4 linked regions of the Arabidopsis thaliana genome follow. The protein of the gene in region 1 interacts with the protein of each later gene in a pairwise test. Each region holds a gene or a part of one and is shown in the gene's direction. Other genes may lie near its edges.

Region 1 (4,621 bases):
CAACCCAGAGATTTTAGTGAATGGTGAACCAAAATCTGACCAAGAGTTTTCTTCGAGTGAGAACCATGTGTGTGTATTTATTCAGTTTAGTTTACATAGGATCTTTCAATTAGAGAAAAATTATTTATATAAAATTATTTTATCTAGGTTGGAAGACCAATTTTAAACCAAATAATAAAGTTATTAACATTTTCAGTGCCACTTTTATATTTTCTTTATTTTAGCGAAGATTTTGCGTCAATGTACGATTTTAAAATAAAGATGGACATCTCTAATTCATCAAAATGACACAAGAAAAAATATTTAGCATTAGAGCATGAAAATCAAATCAAATCATGAACTGATGATATCATTTATTTCAGTCTTTCTTATTTTTTGTTTTATTTTTGCCTATTAGCTAGCCTAATGCCAGTTTTATCTCCCTACATCCAAATTCGAGCCCACGCAAGTTTCTGAACAAGATTTACACGATTTGATATTTCAATAACAAATTGGGCTAGACAATAGTAAATCTTGATGCGTTAAAAAATACGTAGAATCACCTACTTATATTCTATAATAGCAACAATATATATATTTAATAAAAGAGAAGTTGTGATTATTAAAACTAAAAAGATAATGTGGGAAGCATTTGAATGATACATCTTTATGCGATTAAAGTTTGATTTAACATGCTACCAAACCATATAATAAAAGTTTTCTAAATATATTTCTGCTTTACTACTTTTGAAGATTTGGCATGTGGCCGTTGCTATAGTTTTTCTCTTCTTTATTATCTTCTTATTTCGAATAAACTAACTAACCGAAAATTTAGAGCACAAAAATGTATTTAAAAATCATTAATTTGTTGTTGGACGTATTATTCATTGATAAGATTATTTTTTCTTTTATTTATTTGTTAGATAAATAAGATTCTCTTTCGTTCTTAAATAGCTTTTCGTTAAACATAAATATTTTGTTTAATTCCAATTAATTTTGAAATTACTTTATCACGATTGATAAAAAACACACAAAAAATAACATATTGAGAAAATATATCAGTATTCGGTATTTATTTTTAGTTTGGTAGTTACACCAGGTACCAACTAATATATAGATTCTCTAAGTACCTTTCAAATACTAAAATCATATAAACAACTTACTCAAACATTTTGTGGAAAAGAAAAAAACATTTTTGATACGAACCAATATGAAATAAAAAGCTGGATTTAGTTAAAATCAGATAAATTTTGATTGAAATAAAAACCAAAAACGAACGTTGTGATTGAATTTTATGTTAGTTGTTTCATGTCCAACCACTAATTACACCAACTACACATATAAATCAATCGACCAACGACACCATATTCATTTTTTTGAGCCTCAAATTTATTTTATTTATTTGAACTTCTCTCTTTTTCTTTGTTCTGTTGTAAATCTAGATTTGAATACAATGGCGACAAATTAGATGAATGGACAATGCATGTGTTAAATATGGACTGTTTCTTCATCACTAAGCTATAACAAACATTTGGTTTAACAATTTTAATCACTTTTTTATTTTCAGAAAGTGACCTTAAACGAGTCCTATTGGCTATTGGTGTCCCACAAAATATTTTTCTACTTTCATATAAATCATAAAAGTTGGGTCTTGAAAAATAATACCAACCCCACATAGTGCCACATGACTCAAAAGTCGTTATACGTATAAAATACGGTCATACATAGTATTTCAAAAATTACCAAAATACCCTTACCAATTTTCCTTTAAATTCCAGTCTCCTTCAAATCAATGCTTCCCTTTTCTCCTTCTCTTCTCTCTCTTCTCTCTAATTAAACAATTTTAAACCGGTCATTATGATGTCTACTGTACCGGCCTTTACCTTTACTGAACCGGGTTTGGTTAACCAATTATCGGATTTCCAGACCGGATTCACTCCTTGGGAATTGAACTGCTCCGATCTCTTCTCTACAATCCATCTCGAACCGGTCGTACCGAGTCCTTGTTCTGGTGAATCCGATGCCGGTTCTGTCAAAATTAACACCGATTTTAACGGTTTTGACGAATCGTGTATCGGTTCCATCAAAACTAACTCCGGTTCTGATGATTCCAACCTTTTCCACGGCGTACCGAGTCCTCAATCCGACGAATTGGACTCAAAAAACACGAAAATCCGAAGTAACGCCACGAATCATAACCGGAACAAATTGAACCGGTCGGTTTTGCAGGTGACTGACGACCGTAAACGCAAACGGATGGAATCAAACCGAGAATCAGCGAAGCGGTCGAGGATGCGTAAACAAAGACACATTGATAATTTAAAAGACGAAGCAAATCGTCTCGGTTTAGAAAACCGGGAACTCGCAAACCGGCTTCGAATTGTTTTGTACAACATCGCATTAATGTGTACGGACAACAATCAGCTTTTGTCGGAACAAGAGATTCTCAGACGGAGATTCTTGGAGATGAGGCAGATTTTGATTTTCAGACAGCTTCAGCTGAATCCATCATTGATCATCAATCATCATCATATGATTTGAAAGAAAAAAAAATAGAAAAAAAAAAGTTTAGAACGGAAAAAAAAAATTAGATAAAAGCGAAGTATTTTTATTTCTGTGTCTCTTTTGATCACTCTTATGTGTAAATGAGAATATGAGTGTTACTTTAGATGATGGACTTCGTTTTTTTTTTGCTGTTGTTTCGTACTTGGGCCTCTCTAATCATATTTATCAAGGCCCATTAGTGAGTGGGCTAAAAGATATAAGCCTAATCAACTACTCTTGTTGACGACTACCACCCTATCATGTATTTAAAACCTTCTGCATCAAGTTGGAGTCGTCGGCTTTGAGGGTTGGAATGAAACCTCTACGTCAACCAGAGTCTTTCACAGACTTCCCAATTCCCATGTTCAGCTTGTTTCCTCTTTGATTCCTTCTTATTCCTCAAGTAGACAGACCGCAAGATTCTTCCTACAAGCCTTTTTTTTATCAAGTACGTAGACGGAATTAAGTATAGTTAGAAAAATATATGCAAATTTGAATAACGTATTATTTGTTTAAAATATATGCAAAACTATTAACCATTAACCATTAACCATTAACCATTTTGGGAAAAGATTGTTAATGATCTAACACTAAATTTATCATATGAAAGCAACAAGGTTATGTACTCCAAACTATATCTAATACTGTACTCTTGAGTCTTGAAGCATCTTGCATCTAGTGAAGATATTTATTCGGTAAGAATTGTCGTGTCTAGTGCAAGTGGAAGTGTCTGGATCGTCCCACACATGCCACGTGTTAGAATAAAATCTCCAAAAATTACACAAAAAAATCCAAATTAAAAACGTTATGGACCATCCATACATTGAGAGATTGGTCCTCCTCCACTCTTTATAATCAATTTCATTTTTTCTTGAAGAAAAACAAAAACAGGAATAAGTGAAAGGTAGGGTTAGAGAGAGAAGAGCAAAAAGTAGTTACAGGGACCCAAAAGTGGAGAAACAGAACCCAAAAAAAAAAAAAAAAAAACTAAAGTTGGAGACAGTTGTTTTGAAGAAGTGTTCTATGTCCAATCCACAAACAATGTTGCCTCTTGTCTGCAACTAGGAAACCTCTCGTCAAAATCTCTCAAGGATCACAAATTTTGTGACACTAACACTTGGTTTTAATTTTGTGGTTAGTGAAAAAAGTAAAAATTTGTATATTTTTCAGTTTTAGAACATTGTGTACATAGACTTCTTAAAACCAGGGATTTAGCTCAACGGCTATAAGAGGAACAATAAAATCAAGAATTTGATGATTGAGAACAAATAAGAGGAAAAACAAAGAACAAAGATTATGAAGAAAAAAACACACATCTCTCCTTTAGTTTCTTCTTGCTTTATATAGAAAGAAAACAGCAACAGAAACAACAATGCATCAAGTAAGAAAAACCAGAAACAGAGAAAAACAGAGTGTTTTTGTTTTCGCAATTGTCCTTAGTTTTTTTTTTTCAGTTTCACAGAGAAGGAGCAGTAGCAGAAGTATTCATCAGCGTGGTCGGGCCAAGCGGATCTTTTCCATCACCGTTCTTATTGTTGTTATCGCCAATGATGGTGCTGCTTGCCGAGCTGCTGTTAGAAAGAGAACCAAATGTCGACTTTTGCAAGACGCCTGTTGGAGAGGAACCAAACTTGGGACTATTGGTCGTGCTGTTTAGTACCTCGCCGAGTGGACCTCCCATGGAGTTGTTATTACCCCAGGAGATTGGTATCCAGTTATTCGTCTTTTTCCCGGGGTCAAGAAACTCGGTGTTGACGCCTAATCCCATGTGGATCGCGGGGTCAAACTCACGCGATAACCTTAAAGGTGAGAGTGCAAGTTTATCTTGAACAGGGGAAGATGGAGCCATAGGGATTGACATTGAGAGCTGAGTCCAATCCGATTTCAGCTCTTCGGGCCAAGAATCGACATTGTTGTGATTCCCCGCGTGCTTGGCTTGGTTGCCGAAGTCAAGATACGATCCAAAGCCTTTGGAAGAGGTTGCATACGAGGCTTGTTTATGCGACGGATTAAGTAACGAATCAGAAGAGATGAGTCCGAATTCAAAGGGATTATTGCTTTGTTTCGGATGAGTTTCCTTCGACTGTAAGTTCATCGT
Region 2 (4,036 bases), on another chromosome or scaffold:
TGAAACAGACGTCACCAAAAAAATCAACACCTTTTTTTAATGGCTTTTTATAAACGAACCCCGAAAACTTGTAAAAATAAAATAAAAAATACTTGTTAACTTAAATAAGTAGATAACATATACTTTTTTTTCTTTTCAAATGATAACAAAATAAAAGTGAAGGTAATTGGGTTGGGTGTAGATATCCTTAATTAACCTGCTAATGGTTAGTGTTACTTTGTTAGTGCGTATCTTTGAAAAAGTAACTATCCATTCTCACATCTACTGTATGACACAAATTTAGTGTAAATTAAGAAAGTATATATTCAAAGTTATTGACCAAGAAAAAAGGACCATAGGAAATGTTGAGTTAATCTCTGCAGATGGACCGTACAAGTCTGCAGCAAATACTCTGAATCTGAGATAATGTATTCCTCTGCCAATTGATATCTTTTTGGTCAAATAAATACATCTACGTTATGCTTAAAGTCTCACCAAACCTAGGTATTTCCTTTGTATATATGGGATAATATATGTTTCGTATATGCATTTATAGCTGCACAATTAATTAATAATAAAAAAAGAAATACTTTACATTCTTTTTTAAAATTGCATTATGGTGTTATGAATATTCATATTGCGACAGAAATTCTAACGATAATAACTTAATAAGTCTAGCCGATCCCTTAAAAAAATGATTTATAACAGCGAATTCTGCGACATATGGTTGGATAGTTAATTTTAAAATCAGTAAATGGTAGAATTGATATGGCAACAAGTAGTCAAGACTATATGAAAAACGGACTCGTTTGGGAAGATCATTAACATTCACATTATGAAGAGACCGGCTATGTACGTAGAAAGAGGGTTTCATATAAACCATCAAAATGTCGAGAGTGAGAGATAAATGGGGATTGGTGAAAAGACATGTGAAGTGTGCGTGAGAGATATAATTGTGGTTAGAAAATAAAAGACGCAAGAGTCAAATCAAATGTATGCTTTGAGCCTTTTTGGCTGTTATAGTTGGGACTACTTCAGATGTTTAGTTTCATCCTCATTACTATTTCCAATTTTCGGTAGCAACCAACAACAACAACAAAATCATTAATTATTTTTTTAAAAAAAAAAGATTCTGTAAATTGTAGGTTTCTTTGTAAAGGAAAAACAAATAAACAACCAATTTGTGATGGTTTAGTGGTTAATTCAAATTGGTTGTGAGATAGAATTCAAAACTTTGATAATGCATGAGCAGTGACCACTATGAATGTATTAAATGACAAGAATACCTAACGCTTAATTCATATGTATCAAGCGGAAAATAGTTAAAACTTGGGGTGAAATCGCCTTGTTACTTGAACAAAAAAGAAAAAGAAGAAGATCATATTCATAGTTCGAAATTCAAACAAGATAATACCAAGATTTTGTTTGGCAAGCAATCGTAGAATAATATGATGTTTTGTTTGGGGCAACAAAGAACAAAAGCAGTTGAACTAAAAAAAAAGATGTTTACGGATGTTTAACAACTTTTCATCTCTCTCCACTTTTCCAAACACATCTCCACTGCTCACAACGTAGGAAACGTGTTCCCTGTCCTTTACTCTTTCTCTGTCCTAGCATTTTTATTTATTTCTTTCATCTCTATACGTTTCCACATTCCTAGTTTTTTCAAAATTAAGTAGTGACAATTATTGTGAAAATGTTATTGGATTTTATTGTAAATGTAGATTATAGCTATTTGGTTATAACTTAAACCAGAGATAATAATACTATTTATACAATAATCCTAAATTAAAATATCTAGAATGTAAATTAAACTGAGTGTTGAAAACAATTTACAATGCATAAATACAAATGTATAGAAATATATATCAGCTTTCAAATCAGTCCGTGACAGTCCATGAACCTTTTAACAGTTGTATAACAGCATTTTGTCAGAAAACAAGGTCACAACATATACATACACGCACATAGCTTAGAGCCATACGTAATAATATCACACAAATATCAATTATGATGTTCAAAGTCATATTTAATATTTGCTCTTCTCCTCCAATGAGGATGGAGATGGTGCATGCTGACGTGGCGTCTCTCTCCATAACACCTTGCTTCCCGTCTTCTTTGTCTTCGTCCTCACATCATCACTATAACCAACAACAACATTGTATCATGTCGGAAGATCAACACCATTCGATGGATCAGACCACTTCATCGGACTACTTCTCTTTAAATATCGACAATGCTCAACATCTCCGTAGCTACTACACAAGTCATAGAGAAGAAGACATGAACCCTAATCTAAGTGATTACAGTAATTGCAACAAGAAAGACACAACAGTCTATAGAAGCTGTGGACACTCGTCAAAAGCTTCGGTGTCTAGAGGACATTGGAGACCAGCTGAAGATACTAAGCTCAAAGAACTAGTCGCCGTCTACGGTCCACAAAACTGGAACCTCATAGCTGAGAAGCTCCAAGGAAGATCCGGTACGTTAATTCTGTCACTTGATTAAGCTTTTACAAGATTCACGTTCTTGAGATTTTGGGTGTTAATGTTGAGCAGGGAAAAGCTGTAGGCTTCGATGGTTTAACCAACTAGACCCAAGGATAAATAGAAGAGCCTTCACTGAGGAAGAAGAAGAGAGGCTAATGCAAGCTCATAGGCTTTATGGTAACAAATGGGCGATGATAGCGAGGCTTTTCCCTGGTAGGACTGATAATTCTGTGAAGAACCATTGGCATGTTATAATGGCTCGCAAGTTTAGGGAACAATCTTCTTCTTACCGTAGGAGGAAGACGATGGTTTCTCTTAAGCCACTCATTAACCCTAATCCTCACATTTTCAATGATTTTGACCCTACCCGGTTAGCTTTGACCCACCTTGCTAGTAGTGACCATAAGCAGCTTATGTTACCAGTTCCTTGCTTCCCAGGTTTGAGTTTTTGTGTTCTCTTTTCTTTCAGTTTTTAATTCCATATCATTTCTTAATTTTCTTCCATTTTTTGTACTATTTAGGTTATGATCATGAAAATGAGAGTCCATTAATGGTGGATATGTTCGAAACCCAAATGATGGTTGGCGATTACATTGCATGGACACAAGAGGCAACTACATTCGATTTCTTAAACCAAACCGGGAAGAGTGAGATATTTGAAAGAATCAATGAGGAGAAGAAACCACCATTTTTCGATTTTCTTGGGTTGGGGACGGTGTGATCATCATCGATCATGAACAAGACTGGCTTGAGTTAGTTAACAAAAGTTATGAGATGATTTGAGTCCTTGTCGATGTAGTTATGTTGCGTTAATAATTGTAGATTAAATGTTGTTGTCCTTAGTCACATGCAACATTCCTTACCCCGTGTTAATTAGCACGTACATATATACCACTCGTTGGTTAAAATCAATGCTTTCATTTATGTAGATGCCAAATTGTCTCACCTTTACCAAAATTGATTTGAAGTGTAAAACATTTGTACCACTTTATAGTTCTAACTAACTCTTATCTTATATGAAAATGTCAGATTCCGTCATTAATGTCCAAAAATTGTATGGAGTGAGAGTAACAACATGCTTCGTATATGAAGAGGAAGGTGACATATGTTAAAACAGGGACGATGATGTGGATATAAGAAACGACAAAGAACGATAGAGAAGTCAAATTAAAAGGAATAATGTACTACATTGTATTTATTTGGAGTATGCAGAAGTTTAATAACAACATGCGATATTGATGAGGTTGCAAGATTCAGGCACAGATTCTGCAACAGAAAGTCCAAACATCCACTCTTTAATATTCTCACACCCATTGCATTTTTTTATTCTCTCCAAAGCAAAAACATATTTTCATTTCATTGCCCCTTACTTATGCGTCTCATCGACCTCATGTCACCCACATGGCCCCTTCTCCTAGTTATTGTTCATTGTAATAATCATTTGATTTGTATCATGATACTATTTGTATACGTCATTGTAGTTTTAGTCCAGCTTAACACATTTCTATGACTAAATCGAAATAATTGATTGATTTATGAAATTAAGATTAAATTTATGTAATACCGTT
Region 3 (5,580 bases), on another chromosome or scaffold:
TTGGAAATCTCATTAATCTCAAGACATTGAATCTAAGTGAATGCTCAAGCCTAGTAGAGCTTCCTTCATCTATTGGGAATCTCATTAATCTCCAGGAACTGTATCTTAGTGAATGCTCAAGCCTAGTAGAGCTTCCTTCATCTATTGGGAATCTCATTAATCTCAAGAAATTGGATCTAAGTGGATGCTCAAGCTTAGTGGAGCTTCCTTTATCTATTGGAAATCTCATTAATCTCAAGACATTGAATCTAAGTGGATGCTCAAGCTTAGTGGAGCTTCCTTCATCTATTGGGAATCTCAATCTCAAGAAATTGGATCTAAGTGGATGCTCAAGCTTAGTGGAGCTTCCTTCATCTATTGGGAATCTCATTAATCTCAAGAAATTGGATCTAAGTGGATGCTCAAGCTTAGTGGAGCTTCCTTTATCTATTGGGAATCTCATTAATCTCCAGGAACTGTATCTTAGTGAATGCTCAAGCCTAGTAGAGCTTCCTTCATCTATTGGGAATCTCATTAATCTCCAGGAACTGTATCTTAGTGAATGCTCAAGCCTAGTAGAGCTTCCTTCATCTATTGGGAATCTCATTAATCTCAAGAAATTGGATCTCAACAAATGCACGAAGCTGGTATCACTCCCGCAGCTTCCAGATTCCTTATCAGTTTTAGTTGCAGAATCATGTGAGTCCTTGGAGACACTTGCTTGCTCCTTTCCGAATCCCCAAGTTTGGCTCAAATTTATTGACTGCTGGAAACTGAATGAAAAAGGGAGAGATATCATCGTCCAGACATCGACAAGTAACTACACGATGTTACCAGGTAGAGAAGTGCCTGCGTTTTTCACTTACCGAGCTACCACTGGAGGTTCTCTGGCAGTGAAGTTGAATGAGAGGCATTGTCGTACATCTTGTAGATTTAAAGCTTGCATCTTGCTGGTTAGAAAGGGTGACAAAATTGACTGTGAGGAATGGGGGTCCGTATATCTTACCGTCCTAGAGAAACAGAGTGGTCGCAAGTATAGTTTAGAAAGCCCAACTCTATATCCACTTTTAACTGAGCATCTGTACACATTCGAAATCGAAGCAAAAGGTGTGAAATCCGTAGAGCTTGTCATTAAGTTCCAATTCGGCAGGAAAAAATGGGAGATAGGTGAATGCGGGATACGCCCACTCTTGGAGGAGGACACTCACGTCGAAAGTTCTATATAATGACGTGATTGTATTGTCTATTTCCATATACGGTATATATGTTTGTAACACAGTTATTGGTGATGGTAAAAGAGAAGTTATTGGTGAAGGATGCTGAGGAAACGTGAAGCTATTATTACCAATATGGATACTGAAAAGAGATTCATTGGAGACAATGCTCCATTCAACTGGAGCTGTAGAGGTTGTTCTTGCGAAAACATGTGAAGGGATTCTGTAAGGAGGTTTATTAGGGCTCGAGGTCTTTGTTGTTGTGTTGTTAGTGGATCTTTCCATGACTTGTGTCGGAAGATATTGCTCTACATTGTTTTAGAATCTGATCAGGTCTTGGTTCGCGGCTTCTATGGAAGAATAAGAAGAGGAAGAAGAAGAAGAAAGTCTTGAGATTGGATCTTGCTGGTTAGAAAGGGTGACAAAATTGACTGTGAGAACTGGGGGTACGTATATCTTACCATCGTAGAGAAACAGAGTGGTCGCAAGTATAGTTTAAAAAGCCCAACTCTATATCCACTTTTAACAGAGCCTCTGTACACATTCGAAGTTGAAGCAAGAGGTGTGGAATCCATAGAGCTTTTGTTTGAGTTCGAATTCAACTTAAATGACGACTGGGAGATAGGTGAATACGGGATACGCCCACTCTTGGAAGAGGACGCTCACGTCGAAGGTTCTATATAATACGTGATTTTATTGTCTATGTCCATATACTGTATTTATGTTTTGCAACCGTTGGAGTTCAAATCGAAATCATTAAACATGTCTCTACAGTGAGAGATCAACAAAAGTTTAAGTCGAATTCAGTTTCTTGGTTGACAAATACAGGCTTATTAATCCCCCACCAACATAGAAATCCAGTTTCTAATCACACTTTCTAAAAGTATGAACCAATTTTTTTCTTTTTTAAAAATCTCTTTTACCAAATATCTGAAATCATCAAAACATACTAATAAGCATGTACTATACAAAACATAGATGGTTCAAGAAAAAACACACGTGAAATATAAAACAAAAGAAACAACGGTTTATATAAAACTAATCAACACGTGTAGACCGTATGATTCTCAACCGTAAGGTGCTTAGTTCGCCGTTACGGCACCATCCTCATCAGATCTAAGTGCCACATTCCTAGGAAACGAAACCCGATGAGCTTGACACGTGAAACGTCGGTTAGTAGCTTCTAGTAACTGATTTACTTTGGTGGTTAGCCCAAATGAGTGGTCCAATAAAAAAAGAAAGCGGGTAAGTCGTTGTTTCTGTTCTGTGAAGTAACAGATGAAAATTAATGGAAACGATCCCAAATTCCCTAGTCTCTAGCTTCCAACCCTAATTTCCGATTTTTTTGGTCTCCCAATCAATACCTATTTCTTCTCTCTCCTTCACAATCTCTCTTCGTTTCCAAAAGCTCTGTTTTTTTTTGTTGTCCTTTTCTCTCTTTTTTTCTTTCTTCCTCATAAGGAAAGTTTTTATGTTCAGCATCTGATTCATGGAAAGTTTTGTTTTGTCTTAAATTAGGTAAGTTTTCTCTTCCTTCTTGGGGATTTTATTGACAAAAGTATGAATCTTTGAAGTGGCCAAGTGGGTATCGTTTGCTATTCCATTGATTCTTGGTGTTGCTCATTGTTAGTTTCAAAATGTGTGTTGTATTCTCTTTGTTCATATGAGTGGGTCATAAGTTATGCAGGATGGGTAGAGTGAAGCTAAAGATAAAGAAACTACAGAACATGAATGGACGTCAATGTACGTATACGAAAAGGAGACATGGGATTATGAAAAAGGCTAAGGAGTTATCGATCTTATGCGACATAGATGTTGTGCTTCTCATGTTTTCTCCCATGGGAAAGGCTTCAATTTGCATAGGCAAACACAGGTCTGATCACACTTTTTTTTTAATACCAAAGTATCTTTCACATTGTTCTGTTTAGTTTGATGTTCTGTTTTTTGGGTTTTGTTTAGCATTGGAGAAGTCATTGCTAAGTTTGCTCAACTCTCTCCTCAAGAAAGAGCAAAGAGGTTTCTTCTCTTCACTTTTACACATTTCTAGGATCTAGAATCTTTCTGCGTTGACATTACACTGAACATATAACTTCTTCGATTTTTGTCTACGTTTGAACAGGAAGTTGGAAAACCTTGAAGTAAGTAGTGGTTCTTGGCTCTGTTTAGTCTCTCTTCTCTTCTCATCTCCTAAACTATCATTAATACTATTTCTTTTTCATAATATCTTAGGCCTTGAGGAAAACTTTCATGAAAGCTAACCACGATATAGATATATCAAAGTTTCTAGACAGAATTAGGTGTGTTATATTATATCAAGAATATGAGATTCTTTCTGAACTCTTTCTCTGTTTGTTCTTGTTTAGTGTTGTTGTGTATTACTACTAATGTGACTCGTTTTTGTTTTCTTTTACAGTACACCAACAGTTGAGGTATGTACAACTACTATGATGTTAATAAATGATTCTGAAGTATCTTCTAATTCGTTTCGCGACACGGGAATTTTCAGGTGCTTAGCGAAAAAATCAGGTTTCTGCAAACACAATTATCAGATATACACACACGACTAAGGTGCAAATATCTTCTATCTACTTCAGTTAAATCTTCCTTTTGGTTTTGGTATTCTAATTTGTGAGTTACATGGTTTTTTGAGATAGCTACTGGACCGATGTAGATAATATCGACAGCGTAGATGTTTTGCAGCAACTAGAACATTCACTAAGACAATCTCTGGCTCAAATCTATGGTCGTAAGGTATGATCTTCCTCCCAAATAATCAAATAATGAGTTAAGGTCTCATTTAACAAAACTTATGCATCTTATTACGACTTATAGGCGAGCATGCCGCAACGTCAGCAGCAACAACTTATGTCCTCACAATGCAAAAACCAGGTAAGGATTCATCACTCTGGACATTATAAAGATGTTTTGAGATATGTATAAACATAGAGCCAAAACATTGTGTTTATGCAGTTGCAGACTGAAATAGATATAGATTTCGGAATGGAGATGGAGCAACAACTTGAGAATTTCTCATGGGTTCGTACCGATGAAAACATGAATGTTCCTATAGAAGAAGAAGACCCTAATCTGCAGCTTCATCACATGTACAAGGACATAACGTGTTCTGCAAGTTCAGCTCTTGGAAATTACTCAGGACTCTTTAGTAAAAGCTCAGATATCTTACAAAAACTAGAAACCGGTAGCATTCCCGGGACATCGGCTGATCCGAACCAACAATTCAGCAATCTCAGTTTCTTAAATGATCAAAAGCTTAAGCAACTAGCTGAGTGGAATCTATTAGGCAGTCCTGCGGATTACTACGTTAGCCAGATCTTGGAAGCTTCTTATAAGCCTCAGATTGGAGGAAAAAACAACGGCGCTTCTTCTGAAACATTACCTTATGTTGCGGTCTTCGATGATCCTCTATATTTTTGGGTAAATAACGGTTTGTTCATCATTCATTTGTTTTCAAAACTCTGTTATTACTGGTCTTGTTTTGCTGACTGTTTCTGAACATATCTAATATGCAACAGCCAAACTGACAAGTAGCTCCGGAAAAAAACATAAGACGCATTGATCCGAAAACGCGCCTTGTCTTTGTATCAACGAGTCATAAATGCCGAAGAAGCTAGGATTGATAGGTTACATGGACACATACTACACTAGATGATACTATTTTAAGTTACTTGTAACTCGAGAGTCATCTCCAAAAAGCGTAAGCAAAGTATTGTTTCTCGGTTATATACTATTTATAATACAAGTCTAAGCTGTGAACGAGAGATGTAAATAAATGCGTTTACCTCTGCTTACGCATCTATAAAATAACATAATATGAGTTGGCTAGAAAAATTTTGATTTGCAGTTTCCAAATCCTTAACTACACTGCAACCACCACATCAAGAGTTTATTATAATTTGAAGAAAAGTAATATTTAAGATGAACTGATGAAGTATTCATTTTGTCCCCATCAAATGATAGAAGAGTAGTAAACAGAGAAAACTGAATAGTCATTTCGAAAGTGTTCATGCAATTTCCCGATAATAGTTTGGAGTTGTTGAATCTCATAAAGGAAGAGTGCTCAGTGAATGCTTAAAATGAGAGAATGGGCTAAATAAGGCCCGTTGAGAAAATGGACGATGTGAAATATGTTGGTTAGCGTTTCGAGTCTGCGGGGACCCATAGGTACTCATGTGGGTAGTTAGAACAAAATATTGTCAGAAAAGCACATGGCTTCGGTTATTCTGTATCACTCGTGATTACTGTTACTACTACGTGCACGTCATTCTTCTTTTTTGTTTTCTTTTTGTCACAACATGCTATTTGCAGTATAGTATAGTTAATTTCTTATTATTATTCTGATGGCTGATTTTTTATTCTTTCAAATCAG
Region 4 (4,367 bases), 2.2 Mb from region 1:
AAGTACATCTGAATATTCAGGCAATTTAATATCTTAACTCATACGTACATGGCCAAACTTAGCTTTCATGTCAGAAGTTTGATAAAAGTTTTCAATTCCAAGATAGTATATCTATTCACACAAAACATTCCGATTTTAAATTATGTTGTTACTAAATAATAATAATAATAACGACGCAACTATAATTAATTAGGCTAACTATAACCATATTTGTTTTATAAAAACAAATTAAAAAAAAAATTAAGTTAGCATACGAAAAAGGTGACAGGCCAAAACACATTCAAACCCATCTGAATTCACATTTTCTATATTTTTTATAACAAATAATTTTCTTGCATGTTTTATACACAAAGAAATTGACATCTTATGTTTCTTTTTGTATAAAATAGCATGTCAATTTCTACAAGGTAAAGGATTTTTCCAAGTAATTATCCATGGATTGAACCCTAGATTCGTATTTTCTAATTGTTATTCTTTATTTCGAGCACAAGACATCGCATAATTTTTTTTGTCAGTTAATTTTTTTTCGCATATATAGAACCAATCAATCTATACTCTATATGTGAATACCCGAACGCCTAACCTAATAAAAGCATACTAAACTGAAGGCAAAAAAGGTTCAAAACCAGGTCCATTAGAATGCCCAATAGAAAAAGTCACTTAGGGAAATATCAACTAACTCAAAAGGAATAAGAAGAAATGGGCTCCAAACTCAATCACTGACACACTGGTCCTGATCGGATGCTCTCCATCTCAAAACGGCACGCCCAACCACGTAGGCTAGCACCCTCCCTAAAGAGTAATTAGCGGGCATTTTCCCCCATCATATTTGAGGTCCACCGATTAGTGTGAACTTTAGTTTACGTGTTTGTAATATTTTTTTTTGTCTGTAATATTTTAATTTATTTTTATTTTGTTCCAAATGATCGATCTTCTCAACTAACAAATCATTCATGCAGTTTTACTTGATGAGGGATTTCATATACAATTTTACAATTGACACTACAAAGAGTCAAAGATTTACATTAGAAGGTTCTCTCTACACCATGCTAATGATAGACAAATTTACCCTTTGACAGACCAGACCACTCATCAGACGTGGCCGTCATCAGCCGAGTTAACTCCTTGTAATCTTTCTCAAAAGCAGTATCGGTTAAAGATAGTGAAATGAGGAATGTCATCACCTAGAAAAGAGATTCAAATTTTGCATGAGGGGATAAACAGTGTTTGAAACTCTTTAAACTAAGTTGAATAATGTGGTTGTTCGAGCCAACATTCCATCTAATGTAGTTTAATGTTGGCTCGAACAAAAAGATCAACCTTACAAACCAAAAGATTAATACCAAGTGGAAAATATTGATAATTTATGTATGTTTCTTTTGGACGTACACGTTTCAATAGTTTGAAGAATTTCTTAGGTAAACCATAAATTATATATGTATATATATATATATATATATATATATATTCTTCTTCATTTATTGATATAGATATGTCAAAATTAGAGTATTACCATTATAATTTTTTGGTTATAATTAAATTCCAAGTTGGAACAAATTTTGATCTCTTTAATTTGACATATGTTGATAATGTGTGTTTCTTTTGGATGTACACGTTTCAATAGTTCGAGAAATCTATTATTCAAATCATAAATGTTAATTAAATATATTTTAGAAACATTTTTTGAATTTAATTATTTTCATATATATATATATTAAATTTAAAGTATTATCATTTAATATTTTGGTTATTTTTGTAGTCAAAGTTGGAACAAATTTTGATCTATATACACATTTAATTAGCTTGTAATTTTGTCATCAAACTCATTTACTCAATGGCCTCATCCAACGGTTAGGAATCAACCTTAACCAAACATCATATCTAATTATATATCCTTTCCCTTTCCTCCCCCAATAAACTATTAACAATAAATATTTAATAATTAAGAGAAGAATTGAAAAGATATCTACCAATCCTAAATAAGAAGAAAAAAACATAAAATCTTCATTTATCAACAATAAAATAAAATTTATATCTTCCTTTCTCTCTTACCCTTAAAATCTGATTTTTCCTCCTCTTGTCTCAAAAATCAATCATCTAATACCCTTTCTCTCTCCCTCTACTGATCATCTTCATAAAGGTAATGCAAATGGCAAGAGCATGTTCTTCGTAATTTATTACATTGTTCATAAGGTTTTGTCTCGCTCTTCCCTTTTTGTATATATTGTAATTATTGTCTAAGAAAAACAAAACAGGAGAGAGATTAATGGAGGAGCCGAAATGGCTCGAAGGTCTCTTAAGAACAAACTTCTTCAGCATTTGCCCTCGACATCGCGAGACACCGCGAAATGAGTGCAACATGTTCTGTCTCTCCTGTCAAAACGCTGCGTTTTGCTTCTACTGCCGCTCCTCCTTTCACATTGATCATCCCGTCCTTCAGGTCCTTCATTTTCTCAACACACAATGCATACACATATATATATATATCACTTTTGACTCAATCCAATTCTTTATCATTAACATTGAGACAGATAAGAAGATCGTCGTATCATGATGTGGTGAGAGTATCGGAGATAGAGAATGCATTGGACATAAGAGGAGTGCAAACTTATGTCATCAATAGCGCGAGGGTTCTCTTCTTAAACGAGAGACCTCAGCCTAAGAACTCCTCCCATGGTGCCGCCTCCTCCACTCCGAAAACCATGTCCTACTTCTGTGAGACATGTTGCAGAACCCTTCTTGATCCCTTTCGCTTCTGTTCCTTGGGTTGCAAGGTTCGTTTTCCTACACCTTTTCTCAATGCAAAATTCCTTTTTGTAGCTGGATGGATAAATCATGAGCAAAAACCTGTAAACTTCATATCATAGAAAAACGAATGCATAGTTATAAGTCAATCTATCTAACGAGCACTTTACAACTGGACCAACAAAATTGGTTTATCATATTTTCATCATTATTACTAATATCTTCGCATTTATTTGTCCGATATAAAATGAGGAATCGGTTTAAGGATACACCGTATAATGTTTAGTTACTTGTATGGTAAATTCATTGAATCAACTATATTCAAACTCGCTTAATACATGTTGTTTGCCTCATATAATGTATCTTAAGAAAATATATACGAGGTTAGATGTTTGTATATATGTATATGGTACATTTTGCTCAAAAAAAAAGTATATGGTACATTTGCATAACGGAAATGTATGATGTGATCATAATAAAAATGTCAGGTTGAAGGAATGAGGAAGAATAAGGAAGAGGAAGAAGAAAGATTGCGTAAAGAAAGACAACAAGAAACGCACAAAGGCACGCATCCTCCAACTCATACCTCTAATTCTAGGCGACGAAAAGGCATTCCTCATAGAGCTCCTTTTGCCTCCTAATTTAATCAATCTTTTTCAAGAAATAAAATAAAACTTTTCTTTAACTTATTTTTATCTTTTTAAAATCATCAGTTAATGGTCCACCCAAACATAGCATAGTATATGCGTATTGGGTGGGTGTATTTATATATTCCCAATTTGTACAATGTCCAGCTCACTTCTCACAATCCTCTCACATGGAAAACCAACAATTTGTATAGAAGAAAATCCTAATTTCCCTATATTTTTTTTTTGTAAAACATTAAATACATTTCTAGCTAATTGTATAACATATATCTATACTGTAGGATTGTAGGATGGACTCTATTTGATATACTAATTAATTTTTGTGAAATATAAGTCTTACCTTTAAAACACATTATACAAAAATTAAGAGTTCAAAAAGACTCTTTGTGGAAGGAAGGAATAACATGAAAATTTAGGCATTAGTTAGACTATGAGAATGTCGGTGGAGATATACTGTATACTTTATTTCCGAGTAGATAATCTAATAACTAATCGATGTGGTGGTTTGAAGTTACCTGTCTCTATATCCATCTAGCTACTAAATATTTTAGTTTAGACTGAAATTGTGTGGGGTTTAGGGATCAATAATTGTGTATCTAAATGGTTTTTTTTTTCTTTTCTTTTTTTTTGGGAAAATATCTAAATGGTTAAGGGACATGAATGTGTATATGTTTTGTATAGACACATGAAATGTTCTTCGACATTAATTCTAAGCTGTTATATAATTAAAATAGTTTGTCGTAGGCGTTAGGTATTCGAAAGGTACAGTTACTTAAAAAAGAAAATGAAACTTTCACTTATTTACATAAATAATTTAAGTGGTAAAATTTTACGTAAAGGATGGTCTTATTTTAGTACGCATCGACCTTAATTTCCTTCACGTTCTACATAATATATTATGGCACTTTAAGAAAAAACTAGGTTATAACATTAATTATGAATTACGTGTTGTCGTTTCTCGAGAATAATTAGAGA

The links.
Region 2: the proteins of bZIP6 (region 1) and MYB105 interact in a two-hybrid assay, tested with the Arabidopsis thaliana proteins (one large-scale study listed by BioGRID).
Region 3: the proteins of bZIP6 (region 1) and AGL94 interact in a two-hybrid assay, tested with the Arabidopsis thaliana proteins (one large-scale study listed by BioGRID).
Region 4: the proteins of bZIP6 (region 1) and AT2G27930 interact in a two-hybrid assay, tested with the Arabidopsis thaliana proteins (one large-scale study listed by BioGRID).

Annotation. Positions count from the first base shown.
Region 1 is NC_003071.7:9,730,500-9,735,120, reverse strand, and holds bZIP6 (basic leucine-zipper 6), read left to right. Parts: upstream 1-1,720; 5' UTR 1,721-1,836; coding exon 1,837-2,520; 3' UTR 2,521-2,545; exon of another isoform or gene 2,546-2,829; intron 2,830-3,486; 3' UTR 3,487-3,842; downstream 3,843-4,621. Other genes in the region: GRF1 (growth-regulating factor 1), read right to left, coding at 3,980-4,621.
Region 2 is NC_003070.9:26,155,718-26,159,753, forward strand, and holds MYB105 (myb domain protein 105), read left to right. Parts: upstream 1-1,984; 5' UTR 1,985-1,989; coding exon 1,990-2,461; intron 2,462-2,537; coding exon 2,538-2,906; intron 2,907-2,989; coding exon 2,990-3,189; 3' UTR 3,190-3,377; downstream 3,378-4,036. UniProt on the Arabidopsis thaliana protein: Probable transcription factor that involved in boundary specification, meristem initiation and maintenance, and organ patterning. Functions in both lateral organ separation and axillary meristem formation.
Region 3 is NC_003070.9:26,144,461-26,150,040, reverse strand, and holds AGL94 (AGAMOUS-like 94), read left to right. Parts: upstream 1-2,289; 5' UTR 2,290-2,711; intron 2,712-2,880; 5' UTR 2,881-2,881; coding exon 2,882-3,066; intron 3,067-3,152; coding exon 3,153-3,209; intron 3,210-3,312; coding exon 3,313-3,331; intron 3,332-3,378; exon of another isoform or gene 3,379-3,422; coding exon 3,423-3,490; intron 3,491-3,606; coding exon 3,607-3,622; intron 3,623-3,699; coding exon 3,700-3,761; intron 3,762-3,847; coding exon 3,848-3,944; intron 3,945-4,025; coding exon 4,026-4,082; intron 4,083-4,163; coding exon 4,164-4,706; 3' UTR 4,707-4,726; coding exon of another isoform or gene 4,727-4,735; 3' UTR 4,736-5,040; downstream 5,041-5,580. Other genes in the region: AT1G69550 (disease resistance protein (TIR-NBS-LRR class)), read left to right, coding at 1-1,205.
Region 4 is NC_003071.7:11,890,103-11,894,469, forward strand, and holds AT2G27930 (PLATZ transcription factor family protein), read left to right. Parts: upstream 1-1,994; 5' UTR 1,995-2,140; exon of another isoform or gene 2,141-2,255; 5' UTR 2,256-2,266; coding exon of another isoform or gene 2,267-2,348; coding exon 2,349-2,774; coding exon of another isoform or gene 2,775-2,867; exon of another isoform or gene 2,868-3,233; coding exon 3,234-3,386; 3' UTR 3,387-3,626; downstream 3,627-4,367.